Danio rerio: one gene and its partner. The protein of the gene in region 1 interacts with the protein of each later gene in a pairwise test. Links are inferred from orthologs where the notes say so. Each region holds a gene or a part of one and is shown in the gene's direction. Other genes may lie near its edges. The genes, in order: p4ha3 and zc3h12aa.

Evidence for each region.
Region 2: the proteins of p4ha3 (region 1) and zc3h12aa interact in binary tests that used the Homo sapiens proteins (3 or more experiments, as listed by UniProt). The two-hybrid records come from large-scale screens. The link is inferred for Danio rerio from reciprocal best matches to the Homo sapiens genes P4HA3 and ZC3H12A.

The regions. Positions count from the first base shown.
Region 1 is NC_133190.1:16,744,340-16,748,164, reverse strand, and holds part of p4ha3 (prolyl 4-hydroxylase subunit alpha-3), read left to right. Parts: intron 1-417; coding exon 418-495; intron 496-651; coding exon 652-703; intron 704-869; coding exon 870-1,033; intron 1,034-3,825. UniProt on the Homo sapiens protein: Catalyzes the post-translational formation of 4-hydroxyproline in -Xaa-Pro-Gly- sequences in collagens and other proteins.
Region 2 is NC_133191.1:4,213,425-4,217,625, forward strand, and holds the end of zc3h12aa (endoribonuclease ZC3H12A), read left to right. Parts: intron 1-2,366; coding exon 2,367-3,268; 3' UTR 3,269-3,691; downstream 3,692-4,201. UniProt on the Homo sapiens protein: Endoribonuclease involved in various biological functions such as cellular inflammatory response and immune homeostasis, glial differentiation of neuroprogenitor cells, cell death of cardiomyocytes, adipogenesis and angiogenesis.

The DNA.
Region 1 (3,825 bases):
CCTAAAAAAGTGCTTTATAAACCATAAAGATCGACTGGTAGCAGTTAGATATCAATCTTAGTTAGATAGATATATATAAGTCCGGTGTTCTGTCGATTTGTCTAACCTTGTGAGATTGTCCTACCTCCCATTCAAAAAGTAGGTAGCACATTTTGATAACACAATATGCCACCCATCAGAATTCGGTACCAGAGTAGATGTGATTGGGGAATAGTGTGATATGAAGCTGTAATATACCCCTTACCTACTAAGTCCCTAACCCCAATATCAGAACCTTTCAAATACAGTGTTGGTAGCATAATCTGATAGGTAAAATAAAATGTCAGGACACCTGTTGACTAAAGACCCAATTATGTAATGCATTTATGGATTAAGCGTTTAAAAGTCAGTGAGTGGGTGTACTGTATGTATTCACAGGAAATCAAAAACCAACTCAAAACTTGGATAACAAGTCCTCACAGGAGATGCTTTTTCCAAGCAGATCTAAACAGCAAGGTATCTTGGCTGATCACATAAGACTGATCACGCAAGATTTGAACACATGGTGCAAATGGGGCAAAATATTTTTTTACTGATGTATTTTGAAATACAGTGAACATTTTAGACTTGTTGAGTAACATTTCTAGGTTTTGTTTTGTTTTTGTTTTTTAGACAGGAAACATATCCCACGCCCTCAGTCTCTCCCGGGAACTATTGCTTCATGGTAATCTTCTGCAGTCTTCTAACAGACACTAGCAATAAGTGACATAGTGAGAAACAAAATAAAACAAATCCATTTATTTTACTTGTTTCAAAACTTCATTTGTAAAATTAAATAATCTGGGAGATTTTTCAAAAATTAAAAATCACAAAGTAATGTTGTTTTCAAGATCCCATGAACAGAAGGGTACACTTCAATGTGGAGAAGTACGAGAAACTCCTAAATGAAAATCTACCTGCTACTAGCAGTGGTTTGACTTTGAAAAGGCCCGACGGCATTTATTTGAGAACCAGGAATGCCTATGAACAGCTCTGCCAAACCAAAGGATCTCAGGTACCATTTCACTTTTATATTTGTTGTACCTTATGATTCAGGGCAAGATGATTTATTTCACATTTATCATGAATTGTTCTATTCAATACCATATGTTAAAAATGTTAAACTGCCCGGCTCTAGACAGTCTGCAACATAATCAAGAATCCACGCCACCAATCGAATAATTCAGAAAAGGAAGAATTATTAAAGTAATTAAAGTAACAAGGTCACATAAATAATCTTTTAAACGAAGAAAAATGCTGGTGCTGGAGGAGACCGATCAGGCACCCTAAATCAAGGCAACAACACAAGCTTCTCTCGATAGAACAAATGAGGAATCCTTTTATCATGCGTTTATAACTGGCAACGCAGCACAACTGTAATCCACTTCAACCTGCCCACATAATGGAACAATTGACCACAAAACAATAGTGCCATATAGTAAACATCCCATCACCAGCAAAAGAAACGCAAAAACAAACCAGTAACAAAAATATTTGTGCATGTATTAAACTGTTAAGCGTTTATGATAGCACATACTGCTATAGAAAATAATAATAATAACAATCATAAGGCAACACGGTGGCACAGTGGGTAGCTCTTTTGCCTCACAGCAAGAAGGTTGCTAGTTCGAGCCTTGGCTGGGTCAGTTGGCCTTTCTGTGTTGAGTTTGTATGTGTGTGAATAAGTGTGTATGGGTGTCTACACACAGAGAGAGGGAAATTGTACCACAGAGAGTCTCGGAGTCTCATCCGAGAGTCTCATCCTAAAGACAGCACTCACTGAGCAGTACAGAGTCCCCATCATTATACTGGGGCATTAGGACCCACACAGACGACAGACCCCCCCTGCTGGACTCACTAACTCCACTTCCGGCAACATACTAGCTTTCTCATGTGGTCTCGCATCTAGGTAATGACTGGCACCGCTCTGTTTACCTTCAGTGGGCAACCATATGAGAGTTACAGACAGCTAGCTGCCGGTATTATGAGACAACTCGACAATTCGTAGTTTCTCTGTATTTAATGGATTTATTACTCTGTAAAAAAAAATCAGGGTTCCACACAAAATCTCCATGTTGTCCCATCACAAATTCACAAATTAACTTAATCGTTTTTACAAATTTAAGTGATCTGAATATAAAACAAGTAAGCTTTCCCCCTCCTTAAAAAAACTTTGTTGTTTTAACAGATTTTAAGTAAGTTGAACAAGCAGCAAAAATCATTTGAGTCTACACTGTAAAAAAGATGCCTGCAAAATTGTTGGAAACAATTTAAATGTGTTTAATTTAAAAACTTTTTTGTTTAAATTTAGCCCAAATAAATTGCTTACAACCACTTAACCTTAAAAAAAAAAGGAAATCCAAGGAATCAATTATGAATTATTTTTTTTCAGTGTAGGAGGGTTAAATATCATTTCCTCAAAATGTCCAATATATAATATAAAAGTTTAGTCAATTAGATCATAAATCATTTTTCCCAAGAATTTTTTTTTTAATTGTAGTGATAGATAATCATTGATAAACATTCAGGTTTTTTTAATATTCTGATGTTAAAGCATTGGTATTTTGTTTCTAAAAATTAATACACAATATCTGGGATTGTACATAGCGCTTATATTATATAGAAATGACAAAAGCTTTATATAAAATTTGTAGAATTGCCATCAATGTATATACTATAATTTATAAATGTTTGCCATTTTCAAGTGGTGTATTTTTTTTTCCATAGCTGTAGTAATTGAAAAGAATTCAGACATTATTTCAAGAATAATTGCTATTTTTGATATGGCCTCCATATGAATAGGAAAACAAATTGAAAAAGTACAAAAACACAAAAGCCGCAAAAAGAAAAGAAGTGAAAAGAAGAAGAGTTATGGCAGATCCTGTGTGGATCTTAGTTAAATTCCTTATGAGATCAACTGAGAGAATTTCCTGTACTTAAAATTATATGGCCTGAATTTTGGACCATGGAGAAGGTCTTATAAAATAAGGAGCTGTTGTAAATCTTAAGTATGTAATTTCTAATGACACTTAAAGGAAATTCAATCTGTTTGTTTTGGCTGCTTAAATCAACTTGCTCAACCACTAATATCAATCTGGTATTTGTTTTTGAATTTTGTTTGTGTATATTCTGTACTTTCTGCATTACTAATAATAATTTATAACAAATTAATTTCAGTTTACACTTCTCTATTGCTTTGCACTGTTTAATGAGCAAATAATTTCATTTTAGTTTATTAGGATTAATTAGTTATAAATCAACTTAAAAGAATAGTTTATAAAAAAAAACTAAATCTGCAGTTAAATTACTCACTCTCAGATGATCCAAGATGTAGGTAACTTTTTTGTTCACTAGACTAGAGCATTAAAAAAAGATCACAGACTGAAACTGTGGTTCTTGCTGATTGTAAAGAGTCAAGGACAACGGAGGTGAAGATCACAAAGGTTACTAAAGTAACCCTTGTTCCCCGAGGAGGGGAACGGAAATGCTATTAGTGGATTTGATTTTAGGAAAATCCACGAATTGGGAGGATTCGGTTCAGAAGCAGCTTGTCTGAAAGAGTATGGAACAGGCCAATGAATGCCAATGAATTGGCAGCGTAAGCTTGCGCAAGTGTGCTTTATTGCCAATTAACCCAGCATATAAGCCCATGTGGAGCATGCAGACGCCATCCTTTTTAAGCTGAAGAGACTTAGCTAACAGCTAAGGGACAGTCATTATGGCGATGGAAAATAGCATTTCCGTTCCCCTCCTCGGGGAACGAGGGTTACTTTAGTAACCTGAGCGTTCCCCTTCGGGTGGGGAACT
Region 2 (4,201 bases), on another chromosome or scaffold:
CAAGATTTAAAGCAAATAATGTGTTTTGAGAAAAGATATTACAAAATAAGTCATTTATGCTACAAATATAAAACAAATTTGTCCCTGCTAAATCCTATATGGACTTTTTCAATGTTAGTTCAGTGTGATTTAGTTAAAGTAAATAGCACAATAAACAATGAACATCATTAATCATGGCCATGCTTTGGATTTCATATTATGGGTTTTTCCCCATCACAGACAGTTAAGCCAGATTTAAAATCTTGTAGGCAAGTGATAAGCTTCCATTCAGTGATAAGGAAATTATATAATATGGGGTCTTTGCTTTGAAACATTTCATATTTTAGTAAATAGGATGCAGAGTAATTCTTTCTTAACTAAATAATGTTTGTTTTAATAATGTATGAGCATAATTTTATAAAATGCTAATGTTTGACTCTAGGCCATGTCTGACTCCGATCTAAAAAACATAATGGGTGTCATTTCTATTACCTATGCATTGAGATTTTTATAGATTTTAAGTAGCGTTAAGTTATTAAATTCTTTTTTAATTCATTTTTCAAGGCACTTATACAACACTTCTGTGCCTCATTGTGCCGTGTATAATAATGCTGCCCCAAAACCTAAATGGAGGTGGAATGGATTGAATCACCAAGACCTAATACAGCTGTAAACATTACTACATCTATTCTAACTATAGTGGTTTTATTAGTGTCCATGTCTATTATTTTTAAGCCCTTCCAGTAACTTCTTATGATGGCGAAATCACTTACCCAACTGTTCTTTGAGAGTGTGCCAAAGCAACAAGTAGACAGACATTATGCCAATAAAAAACATGCGACATGTCTAACAATACAAAAACATAGCTGAAATTATTCAAATAACTCCCTGCAGTAGCTTGTGAACACGTTTTGGTAATGTGTGAGGTTACCTGATCTACAACTGTCAAGCCAATTCTTCAGAAAAATACTCCATGTCTTGCAGAATCTTCACACCGTCACTGTAATTGCAGTCATTTAGCTACTCGCCCTGTTTTTAGCATTCAAAGTCATTTTGTATTTTTTTTTTGTGACAACTACACCACAGAATCTGTTTCTGCTCTCTTTCTGTTGGATAGTTATTAAAGGGATAGAAAACAAATCACTATTTACTTTAAGCTTGAGTGGTTTGAAATGTTCATGTATTTATTTTCTTTGGTTGAACCCGAAACAAGATAATCTAGGTGGTCAAAAGTATCAGGTTTGGTACGTTTTGGTACAAAATTTTAAAAATGTCAATTTCGCGCTAACATTTGTGTGTCTATTTAAACACTGCTAATTGGCAAAAAGAAAAGCCGCGTAGATCAGCTGATCTGTCAATGAGCTGACGTACTCGGGATCTGCTGATGGACCAACTGATATACAGTACAAGGCTTTTGTCTGTGTATCTGTGTTTGCACTTGGTAAAGAGTAGTGAGCTGATGACCTTCACAGCCAATCACAGTCATTTCTGTTGAGTGTGTGAATACAATGGACAATCAGCAGTAATTAAGTGCTAAACAGCGCTTAAATGTTAGCAGGAATTTATTATTATTATTTTTATTTCAGTACAAATTGAGCCGAAAGGCAAAGCTCTCTATTTACTGGTCAATCTACGTTCCTATTCTCACCTATGATCATGAGCTTTGGGTCATGACCGAAAGGACAAGATCTTGGATACAAGCAGCCGAAAGGGGAGGGAGGCAGGGCGCACCCTTATAGATAGGGTGAGGAGCTCTGTCACCCGGGAGGAGCTTGGAGTAGAGCCGCTGCTCCTCCTCATTGAGAAAAGTTGGTTGAGGTGGCTCGGGGATCTGTTTCGGATGCCTACCTAGGGAGGTGTTCCAGGCATGTCCCACTGGGAGGAAACCTTGGGGAAGACCTAGGACACGCTGGAGGGACTATGTCTCCTGGCTGGCCTGGGAACGCCTCGGGATCCCGCTGGAGGAAATGTCTTTGGAGAGGGAAGTCTGGGGTTCTCTCCTAAGACTGCTGCCCTTGCTCCCTGGCCCCGAAAAAGCAGTTGAAAATGAATAAATGAATACCAGTTGGTACCGAACTTGATACTTTTGACAACGCTATTCAATGTTGGTAAAAACCGCCATTGAAATCCATAGTAGAAACAAAAAATACTATGTAAAAGTATACCTTCGATTGTGTTCAGCAAAGTAAAGAAACTCAAACTGGTTTGAAACAAGTTGAGGATAAGTAAATGATGACAGAATTATGAGGTAATTTATCCCTTTAAGGATGGGAATCATATCTGTAAATTTCTAGAAACCTTGGTCATCTTTCTTAGGTAGCTGTGATTAGGTGTGAAAATAAATTCTGTTGGAACTCTGATGCAAACATTTGTCTTTTTCTCCTCAGGAAAAAAGTGCACATATGGGATCAAGTGTAAGTTCTACCACCCAGAGCGCACTAATCAATCCCAGCGTTCTCTAGCCGATGAGCTTCGGGAAAATGCCAGACTGTCTGGTTCTAAAGAGGACTGCAGAGTTTCTGGTTCCCTAAGAGGAGTATACCCAAGAAACGATCCTGGATCCTGCTCTCCCTCCCTGGAGCAAGAACTGGAAAAGAAGCTGAGCTTGGAGCCCGAGAGCTCTGACAGCAGGGATGTCTTGCTCCACTACTGGGATGATATTATGTCCATGAAAAAGCCCTTAAATACTGCACCGGTTGGACAATACAGTGCTTTGGGAGACAGAACCAGTTTGCATGCACCATATTCAAAAAACCCATCCATTTTCAGTTCCGACTCTGGGCTTGGGTCCTACGAAAGCCAGTTTTCAGAGCAATCCCAGAGTTTTGATGAGTTGCACAGGATTAGATCTGGTCATCCCCCAATGCCTGGTAATCCTGCTGTACCTGCTGGTGGCCATTATTATAACAACATTAGTCATTTCTCCAGCCTTCAGCCAAATTACACTGCTTACAGCTCTCTACCTCTGCCTAACCCTGTCCAGAGTTACAGTCTTCCTGCTTGTGGTGGCTGGTCTTACCCATACTACTTAACACAGGCGACCGGTTTAGCAGAGCCTTTAACAAGCCGTAGTTCCCAGTCTGCTGGTGTCTACGGAAGCCAGCAGCATTCAGCCATGACACAGTCCAACGCTTTCCAAGAAGAAAGGGAGGAGGTCAGGAAGAAGCTTTATGCCATTTTTAACCCACGTCATGTAAATAAAGTTATGGACATGTTCCCTCAGCTGAAAGATGCACAGCAGCTGGCTGCAGAAGTTCTCAAACTCAAATCCAGCGGAGAGTTCTTCTGATTGTTTAAAACTTGTGGATCACAGAAAAAGACTGCATGGCAGATGTTAAAAAAAGAGTGAGTCTCTGCACTCTCTAGAGGAATGCATGAAAATATTTGCCATAAGGGGACTAACAGCTTGAGCCTGAGGAAATTCCCTTAAAGAAACAGCCTTGTGTTTTATTTTTAAAAGGGTTCATAGTTGCTTAAGGGTGCTTTCACACCTGCCTTATTTAGTTCGATTGAATCGCACTAGAGTTCGTTTTTTCTTTTGGTGCGGTTCGTTTGGGCAGGTGAGAATGCAGCAATCATACTCGAGTGCGCACCAAAAGCGGACCAAATAAGCGTACCGAGACCTGCTTGAAGAGGTGGTCTCGGTACGCTTTCAAACGTACCCTGGAGCGGTTCGATTGTGGTGAGAATATGATCCGTACTAAAACAGGTCCAACCGCAAAAAGTACTGCGCCTTTTGGACTAATTCAGCTGCCGTAAGCCGATGCGCTTTGCATTATGGGATACACTGAAAAAAAATATTCAAAGATGATTCCTTGGATTTACTCAATTTTTTTACGTTAAGTGGTTGTAAACAATTTAATTGTGTTGAATTTAAACAAACAATTTAAGTTGAACATTATTCAATTTAATTTGATTGTTTAAATTCAACACAATTAAATTGTTTGCAACAGTTCTCCATGCAACACTTTTTTCAGTGTATGGAAGAAAACTATTTGTTGACAGCGCTTTACCAACAGAGAGAGAGAGAGAGAGAGAGGAAAACATGATGGATCGATGGTAATATTTCCGCAAGATGACCATGTCGCAGTTTAGCTAAATTTATTCACGCCTCCTCCTGAAGTGACGAGCGATGCATTAAAACACTGTTTTCCAGCCGCGGCCGCGCTTCATTCTCGAAATGTATAGCTTGTCTACAGCAGGCATACAATCAGTCAGCGCA